Regions from separate parts of the Mus musculus genome. Here regions 1 and 2 are each reported to be linked to region 3. The links are microRNA targets in miRTarBase. Many come from high-throughput screens and were not tested one by one. Region 3 holds a microRNA gene; each other region holds the end of a gene's coding sequence.

Evidence for each region. The annotated mature microRNA mmu-miR-302a-3p reads UAAGUGCUUCCAUGUUUUGGUGA and lies in region 3 at 1,299-1,321, shown strand. An mRNA with a match to its seed (bases 2 to 7 or 8) in the 3' UTR can be bound and repressed. Matches are read on the target gene's strand: a 7mer-m8 pairs with bases 2 to 8, a 7mer-A1 pairs with bases 2 to 7 and ends in A, and an 8mer does both.
Region 1: the mRNA of Lats2 is a reported target of mmu-miR-302a-3p. Seed matches in the 3' UTR shown: 8mer at 769-776 and 7mer-m8 at 868-874.
Region 2: miRTarBase lists Zbtb41 as a target of mmu-miR-302a-3p. Seed matches in the 3' UTR shown: 7mer-m8 at 1,798-1,804 and 8mer at 1,949-1,956.

What each region holds. Positions count from the first base shown.
Region 1 is chr14:57,688,746-57,691,861 of GRCm38, reverse strand. It overlaps Lats2 (large tumor suppressor 2), which reads left to right. Exons shown (of 8, transcript NM_015771.2): 8 at 92-2,200. The coding sequence ends at 574. Among named protein-coding and RNA genes, the nearest start is that of Gm26440, 7.5 kb to the left of the region's middle.
Region 2 is chr1:139,447,258-139,450,373 of GRCm38, forward strand. It overlaps Zbtb41 (zinc finger and BTB domain containing 41), which reads left to right. Exons shown (of 11, transcript NM_172643.5): 11 at 1-3,116. The coding sequence ends at 273. Among named protein-coding and RNA genes, the nearest start is that of Aspm, 6.0 kb to the right of the region's middle.
Region 3 is chr3:127,544,241-127,547,240 of GRCm38, forward strand. It overlaps Mir302a (microRNA 302a), which reads left to right and starts at 1,256; the gene lies at 1,256-1,324. Larp7 (La ribonucleoprotein domain family, member 7) reads right to left here. Exons shown (of 13, transcript NM_138593.2): 3 at 2,850-2,950; 4 at 2,681-2,764; 5 at 2,414-2,578; 6 at 2,236-2,329; 7 at 1,807-2,163; 8 at 1,586-1,730; 9 at 1-38. Gm51018 (predicted gene, 51018) reads left to right here and starts at 849. Exons shown (of 2, transcript NR_146435.1): 1 at 849-906; 2 at 2,394-2,663. It overlaps Mir302b (microRNA 302b), which reads left to right and starts at 988; the gene lies at 988-1,061. It also overlaps Mir302c, Mir302d and Mir367.

The DNA of each region.
Region 1 (3,116 bases), not on the chromosome of region 3:
AGAGGCTCACACTTGTTATAGCTGAGGTCGAGGCTGTGCAGGCTCAAGACTTAGATCGATGGGGTGCTAACAGTGGTTCTGCTGCCCACAGGTGATCAACTGGGAGAGCACGCTGCATATCCCTACGCAGGTGAGGCTCAGCGCTGAGGCCCGAGACCTCATCACGAAGCTGTGCTGCGCGGCTGACTGCCGCCTGGGCAGGGATGGGGCAGATGACCTCAAGGCACACCCGTTCTTCAACACCATCGACTTTTCCCGTGACATCCGAAAGCAGCCTGCACCCTACGTCCCCACCATCAGCCACCCCATGGACACCTCCAATTTTGACCCGGTGGATGAAGAAAGCCCCTGGCACGAGGCCAGCGGAGAGAGCGCCAAGGCCTGGGACACGCTGGCCTCCCCCAGCAGCAAGCATCCAGAGCACGCCTTCTATGAGTTCACCTTCCGCAGGTTCTTCGATGACAACGGCTATCCCTTCCGGTGCCCGAAGCCCTCAGAGCCCGCAGAGAGTGCAGACCCAGGGGATGCGGACTTGGAAGGTGCGGCCGAGGGCTGCCAGCCGGTGTACGTGTAAGCCTCAGTTAACCACAACTCGAGGAAACCCAAAATGAGATTTCTTTTCAGAAGACAAACTCAAGCTTAGGAATCCTTCATTTTTAGTTCTGGTAAATGGGCAACAGGAAGAGTCAACATGATTTCAAATTAGCCCTCTGAGGACCTTCACTGCATTAAAACAGTATTTTTAAAAAATTAGTACAGTATGGAAAGAGCACTTATTTTGTGGATACCCATCTTTTTCTTACTAAATTATAAGGACTGACTGTGAGAAACCATGCTGCTGTTATTTCCATGTGTGTTGTATCTGATAGCACTTGTCCACAGCTAGAAAAGGAAGAGCTGGAGAGCGTGAGGCAAGACGTCTGTGCAATAAGAGAGGATGAGGCGACGGAGCTCTGCTCAAGTCACGAGGACCGCTTATCTACACAGTGGCTTAGTTTTGTATTTTCCCACATTTCAAATTGTGATGTAATGTTTGAAAGCTGCTTTTGTATTTTCTCCTTTGCATATTATAGTTCCTAGAAAGAGTGAGCAGAGAGCTGGTGGGTGTGACTCCGGTGTCTGGTGTGGAGAGTACTGCATGAGCAGGGGTTTCTAGTATAAAATACCGTATCTTGCCATTCACAGCAGGTCCTGTGAATACGTTTTTAAATGAGGTATTCTAGACAGTGTGCTGATAATGTATTGTGTGGATGTGTGTTAAAGAAATGCATATGTATAACTGAAGTGTGATTTTTTTTTAATGTGTGTGTGTCTTGGATATGACTGAGTTCTTCGGGAGGCAAATGTAAACATTTGTCATATATAAAACACATCAAAAGGGATTAAGTCAGCTTTGCCAAAACATTGACATAATTCTAGCGTTTTGTCCATTTCCGTAGTCCTGTCTGCTGTCAGGTGTGGCTGTGGGAGCTGGACCCTGCTATTCATTCTTTCACTCACAGGGTTCCCGCAGCCATAGGTGATGTAAGGGTCCTGCTTCCTGTGTTCTCAGCCAACCAGGAGGTTCTGTGAAACCCAGTTCTTTGGGCCTCTTTCACATGAGAGGTGTCTGTCACATCTCAATGTGACTTAATACGTTTTTCTAACTTTGTAAAAAGAAAAAAAGATTCTTTGAAGCAACATTGGAGTACAAAAACAAGCCATACTTTTTTCTTAGACATATAGGTGTGTATATAACTATAGATAAACACACAAAATAGTCCTTATTTCAAATTAGTACGCTTCCTACTTAAGGTGATTTATATTTGAGTACATTCAGTTTCTTTTGCTTTTCAAGGATGGAACACATCCCATTTTCATTATGCTATGCCAAATCTTCTCACCAAGGTTCTTAGCACAGTGCACCCGTTACTTAGTATTATCTAGGCAGAAACACTTACAAATTTATCTATGTCTAAGAAACATTCCTGTGTCTGGTTTACATTTGTATGAATGGCATATTCTGAAGTCTGCTGTGCTTGTATTGTGACTTACAGTATTCTCGCTATTTTGTAGTAATGCCGTGTTATTTACAGCGCTCTGACATAGTTTGATGTGGTAGGTTCTTTCTCAGGAACTCAATTTAACTATTATTTATTGATATATCATTGCCTTTGAAAGCTTCTACTGGCACAATTTATTATTAAAACTTTAAAGCCTAGTCTCTTCATTTGTGGTGTTTTGTTGGAATTTGTGAGATATTACATAATCAGCATGCCCGGGGCTTCCCACACTTCCCTGATGATTTACCTACAGCCAGGTACAAACAGTCTAAATCAACCTGAGATCGATAGTATAACAGAATCTGTAAAATGGGGATAAAATATATCTGCTTAGGGTTTTGAATGGATTGAGATTCAAATAAACACAGGTGGCAGGTGATAAACTCAAGGGTGAACGGCTGCAACTCCACCTGTGTCGTCATGACAACCATGGAAGAGGGACAGGAGTATGTGGTGTCCCCTCAAGCTATTGGCACAGTGAGGAGTAACCTTGACCCAGGGATTAACCCTTACTGGATTCATTCACAGTATTGGAGGAAGTAGAGAGTGGGTGAGGTGTAGCAGGAAGCCCGGGGTGCATGCCATGCCCTGGCCCTGGCCATTGTAGGGCGAGCTGTTCTGGTGAGTGGTGAGCCTCACCTCAGGCCCTCACATGGGATGTGCTGACCACAGAATCTTCTGTCCTCTACCACAGCTTTACCTGTCCCACCAGGGGAACGGTGACCGACAGAAGCTCGGCCTTTTGTTGGAAATAGTGACTGGGTGATTGGTTTAGTCTTTCTATTCATAAATCTAGTCATACGGTTTAAAAAAAAATCATTATTTCCCGATAGACAATGGTCATACTTGTGCATCCTGGGAGAAGTGCAGAATCAGGAGAAATGTACAGTACCTCGGGAGGATACTGAGCCTTTTTCACCAGTTATCTTGGCAATGGGTTGTTGAGGTGATTTTTTTTTTTTGGCTGCACCACTTTGACCTCACCATGTAACCCTGGCTGTCTGTGAACTTGCTATGTAGAACAGGCTGGTCTCAAACTCACAGAGATGGCACCTTGCTCTGGGATTAAAGGTG
Region 2 (3,116 bases), not on the chromosome of region 3:
ACATCCAGCGATCTGGTGCCTCATACCACCACACTTCCCACATCGTCCCATGAGATGCTGCCACCACAGCCACAGTCAACTGATTATCCTCGTGCAGCAGACTTAGCATTTCTGGAAAAATACACTCTTACTCCTCAGCCTGCAAATATAGTTCATCCCGTCCGACCCGAACAGATGCTAGATCCTAGAGAACCATCTTATCTCGGGACATTACTGGGCCTTGATAGCACAGCTGCTGTCCAGAATATGTGCAGTAGTGAGCATCGTTCATGAGTAACCATTCCATAGGCCTTTTAATGCTGTAAGCTGACAGCCAGAAGCTAATGGCTTTTGAATTAGTAGGGCTGCTATTTTTTCCCCCATCTTTTTCCCCTAATTTCTCAAGTCTTCAGAACAGCTTCAAATCAAGAAAAGTTTATTTCTATTGACTGAATACTTGGACACATTTTGACATATTTGAAGTATGATTTTTTAAAAAAAAATCATTAGTACTAATTTTGAAATTTTTAAATTTCAGATTATTAGCTGCTGACAATGGTGGAGGTATTTTTTTTAATCATCAGTGGAATTTTTTGTTTGTTTGTTTTTTTTGAGACAGGGTCTTAGTTTGTAGCCCAGGTAGCCTCAATTTGTGATAGACTTTCTGCCTTAGCCAACCAGTTGCTAGGATTACAGGTGTGAGCCCCAAGCCAAGGTTTTACTTTTAATCATCTGTTTTGTCCGTTTCCCATATTGCTATGAAGTTTTAAGAACCATGTAGCCTATAGGAAGGAATGTAAACATATGTCAATATTGGCAAAATTTTAATACTAATTAAATATTTTGTTCAGATTTTCAAAGTTGAGTTTAGAAACTTATTGAAATTTCTTACATATTTTTGTAAGAAAATCTTGATACTTTGAGGTTGTCATCTATCCATTCTTTTTGTCAGTATATTTGGGTTTTTCACAAGCCAAAATCCAAGAGCTCACAATTACAGGATTAGCATGCTAAATGAAATATAAGGTTGTTATTTTAATCCAGATGATTGGACCTGTACTCAACTATGATAAGTAATAAATACAAACTTAGCTCTAGACATTAAATTATCTAATTGAGTATATCGTAATGAAAAACTGTCAGTTTCACCTACATATCATCAATGTACATTGGCATTTTGTATTTGGGCACTTCCTCCTCGTTCCCAGTATGTGTCAGTATCTACAGATGAGTAAGGAAGGAAGGGACAAGTGTAACTAAAGTGATGGCAGTTCAGTTACACAATGGAGTTAGCATTTCATTTACCACATTTGGCTGACTGAAGCAGGGAAACAGAACCTAGATATTTTACGTGTAGTTATCAGAAAAGGTGCCAAACCCATTCTCAAATCCGCCCTAACTTAACAGGATGCTCTTCAGCTGAGTGCACTACTGTTGGTGTATAGATTGACACTTAAACCAGATCTTTCTTTTTGCTTCTGTATGAGATTTGTCTCTATTCTTCATTGTTTCTGGATGAGGCAGTGGTTGAAGTCTTGGTGAAAGAAAATAGGATTTACAGCAGCGCTTCACAGATTAAGTTTAAGTGAAGGACAAAATCTTCCAGAATTACGAAATATCTTTAGAGATGTGCACTTTGCATTATTTTCAACTCAATTTCATCTTAATATAGGATGAGTTTTTCCTTGTGGGGTTGCTGATGCTTAAGACAGGTAGGGTTGGCTCACTGTTAACATGCAGTTTGTATGGAAACTACTGGAAAAATAGCAGTTGTCAAAACTTTTCTATTTCAATTTGTTTACACTCCTAATTGCTTTTAGCACTTTTGTGTGTGCGTGTGTGCGTGTATGTGTGTGTGTGTGTAAACTGTAACGTTTTGCTTGGCCCTTGTGGGTTTTGAAAACATATCACAAATAAAATAATAAACTTCTAGTGAATAAAATGTAATCAAAAAGGAGGAAACTGTTTAAGCACTTAAGAAATGAAGGTACTTTATAGGAACAGTTGCCATATTAATGTTCAAAGAGCATGTTGCAAATTGAGGCATTAACCAAAGTAGCTAATATAAATAATAAAGATAACCTGAGTTTTGCCTCACTTATCAAAGTTTGGTTGTTGTAATTGTCTTTGGACTAGTGAACTTAATTTTGTATTATTATTGCTAAAGTCTTCTTACTTAGTGTGGAAGTGTTCTGTGGGCACTGATAACTGAGTAGAGTCTGAGCACTATGAGTCCTGGACTTATAAATCATTGTCAAGAGTACAGATTTGTGATTTCTATCCAAAGGCAGAGAAGATTTCTAACTATCTTACTGAAATGAAAACATCATACTTAGAAATGTACTTTGCTTTAGAGATAAGCTAATGTAGAAAATTTTGGGTTTATCAGAAAAGGCAAATGTTATATATGTGTTTATGTGCATGATGAATTGTATATTCTGACAGAAAAGGAGGATACAGCATTTTCACAGTGGAAATATTACCTTGGGTTTTGAAGGTATTTAAGGTTCTTTCAATAATGATATTCTAACACTTTAAATATATGACTTAATTTTAGTAATTGGTTTACATAGGACTTTTGAAGAATATAGCTCTTATGTAAAGTGGCATACAATTTTATAATTGTACTTAGCTATTATTGTAGAAAAGCTGAAATAGTGTCTGTTATTTAAACCATTTTCATGTTATCTCATTTGAACCTAGTAAGCAATTTTGAAATAGAAAGGAAATGATGTATTTCCATTTTAGAGAGATACTGAGAGTCATTTAGAGTCATTTGACTCTACTCTCATGCCAGAACTGCCTTGAGTGGAAGGAGGAGACACATGGCATTAAAAAGGCTTACTATGTGCAGGACTGTGTTCTCCAGTTCCTAACGCAGTCTGCAGGTAGACAGTAGAATATTTAGGAAGAAATGAGGAAACCCATAATAATGAAAAGATTACTGTTCCCTCTAGTTTCCAAAAATGTAAGAACATGGATTTGAGAAAACTGAATGTATAAATATTTTAAGTTAGCACAAAAATTATAAAATAGACCCTACTCTTCTTAGTTGTCCTTTTTATGACTCTAAAATCATTATTTTGTAACTATGGTTAAAATTTTGAATCTCACACGTACGTTTAGCCTCATTGTGA
Region 3 (3,000 bases):
GTGCCAAATACTCTTTCTTCAAATCCATCCATTCAGTCCTGAAAAACAAAAATTGAGCCATTACAGTGATAAGACGACCCAACTAGAAATCTGAAGTTGATCTAAACACAATGTTCATAGGAACTGCAAGTCTTTCTGACTTTTCTTTCTTTTAAGGCATATGTTTACATTATTTGTTAAGCCATTTGTTAAAGCTACCTAGCAAACACACAAAGGAAGTTTCTTTGTCTTAACAGGCAAGGAAAATGCTTGAGTTTCCTGGTTGCTTCTAATATTTAATTGTAAAATCACTTTTGAGTCACTTCTATTAAGTAAAATCACTAAATCAGGCAACCTGGAGAAAAAGTAAGAGACTAAAACTTAAAGATTTCTCAAATTGCTTCCAATTTGAGAGCTAACATTCCTTAGGATTTACTTGAATCAAAAGGAATTTCTAAGAAGAAAAAAACACCCCATGGAAGCAATTTATTTATTTACATACATTTAACATGTAGATGTATCTTCAAACAGCTAGGGCTCCTCCAGAGAAGCACAATGCATCTCCTGGCTCTGTGGGAGCGCTCATTGTTACCCTAATCTGTGCCATCAAACGGGCAGATAGGAGATTTTTTTTAAAGAGGAGGATATCTTGTGGTAATGGTTTTAGCAGTTAACATTGACATCTGTTTACTTCAAAAAAGGAAAAAAAAAAAAAAAATCCAGACCTACCCAGGTCCCCAGGACCTACTTTCCCCAGAGCTGATACATTAAAATAACAAAGGGTCTTGTAATGATTCTCAGAGATAGAAAGCCAAAAGGAACTCAGGAGTTAGGAGTAGTATAAATACAAGTGGTCTAAAGTCGGCGTCTTTCACCCTCCGAGGACAGAACAGGACTCTTTGGGAGGCGGTCACGAAGGTAAAGGAGGTAAAGCTTATGTCTGTAACCGGGTCACTTTACTTTCCTGTGGGTTTGCTCTTCTGTTTTAACTAGTTGCCTTGTGGGTGGGTTCCCTTCAACTTTAACATGGGAATGCTTTCTGTCTCATCGAAGAGTAAGTGCTTCCATGTTTTAGTAGAAGTGAATTCAAGAAACTCTGGAATAAGAAAGCTAGCCTTTTAATTCAGAGTCTGATGGGAGTCCCCTCTGCTTTAACATGGGGTTACCTGCTGTGTTAAACAAAAGCAAGTGCTTCCATGTTTCAGTGGGGGTGTCTTAAACTGTTCAACATTTTCTCTAAGATGCTGTAGGTTAAGGGAGTTATTGACTGGGCTTCCCACCACTTAAACGTGGTTGTACTTGCTTTAGACCTAAGAAAGTAAGTGCTTCCATGTTTTGGTGATGGTATGTTTTCCTTTATATTCATGCCTTTGTAAAGACCACTCAAGTCTGCTTAAGGGGCCTCCTTTACTTTAACATGGAGGCACTTGCTGTGCATTTAAAAATAAGTGCTTCCATGTTTGAGTGTGGTGGCTCCTACTTAATCTTCATTGTGCTGCATATAGATAGACCAAGGCCGTCACTGTTGCTAACATGCAACTCTGTTGAATAGAAATTGGAATTGCACTTTAGCAATGGTGATGGACCTGTGTCAGTGGCCACTTACTTGGACAGCACTCTCAATGGTATAACCTCCTCGCCCATCTTATGTCTCTCCTTGTGTTTCTTCTTATGCTTCCTCTTCACCTTTGAGAGTGAGTCACCTTTTCTGTCTGTCTCCTTCTCCTCCTCAGTAGAGCAGAATTCTAAGTCTAGAAAAAAGATTTCCGTAAGTCCGTTGTTGTGGTTAAACTGGTTAAAACATTTGTAACCCTACTGCCACGGTACCTCTGCTCTCCTTGGAGACCTCGGAAGCTGCTTGGCCGACGCCATCCTTCTGAGCCCTTTTCTTAGCTTTTGGCCTTGGGGGGAGGCAGTCTTCGTCCTCGGCGCTGCACCTCTCCCTCTTCCCTGCCCTGGCTTCAGGTAAGCTGGATGCTTCCACCTTGTCCCGCTTCTTCTTTTTCTTTGCAGGTTGCTTTGGAGCTTCCGGGGTTTCTGCTTCGGAGCCCTCAGAGGCCGTCCTTGGTCTCTTCGTGGCTTTACACACGCCCGAGCTGCTGCTGTCCACGGCCGACTCTTTGGCCTGCACACTCTCTTCCTTCTTTATTCTGCCTTTTTTCTTTTTCTTCTTTTTCTTCTCTTCTGTAACAAGATTTTATTATTTACAGTCATAATAGTTTATTGTTTACTTGGCCACTCTAAGTAAGCACTCACCTGCTACTCGTAAGGAAGGGATGGGCTTGTTTTTCACTGTCTTGGGAAATATACCAGGCTTTCTAGGTGCTTCTTCTGGTGGGTTGTTCAGAAACTGAAAAGATTGATTGCAGAATTTGTTACTCTTGTTAACCCTGTGCTTTTTCTTTACTTTTCAGGGTCCCACAGAAGTACGTACCTCAATGGCTTTTGCTGCTTGCTCTTTTGTTTCAAATTCCACAAAGGCAAATCCCTTAGGATCCCCAGTAGACTTGTAATGTGGAATACTTATGTAAACCACATTGCCACATTTCCCAAATACTCTCTCAATCCAGCTATGAGTAACATTTTTGGGGAGCAACTCCTGTAATAAATCATGGTATGAACATTTTAAAGTTCCTACATTTTTACCAATAAATGAATTATAAATAAATGAACTAGAATTAAAATTTGTGTCATTTCTTACCACATATACCGTGCGTTCCTCCTCGTCCTTTGGTCTCTCACCTAGGGGTTTTTTCCTCCTGATTCTGGTCCCTTCTAAGTCCAACTTTATGAGGGGGGAAAAAAAAAGGAAAGCTAAATAAAGTCAGTAGTTAATTGGATGTGGGTGACTTGAAATGTAAGTTTTTTACCTCTACAACAGATGAGCTTTTCAATGCTCTGGCTATTAGCTTCCCATCAGTTGTCAGCTTCTTCATTTTGTTAAAAGACACCAGGAGAGAAATGTCCACATCTAGTAAATAGGATAGTGGGATGTTAAACACTGGAATATATACATGTGTG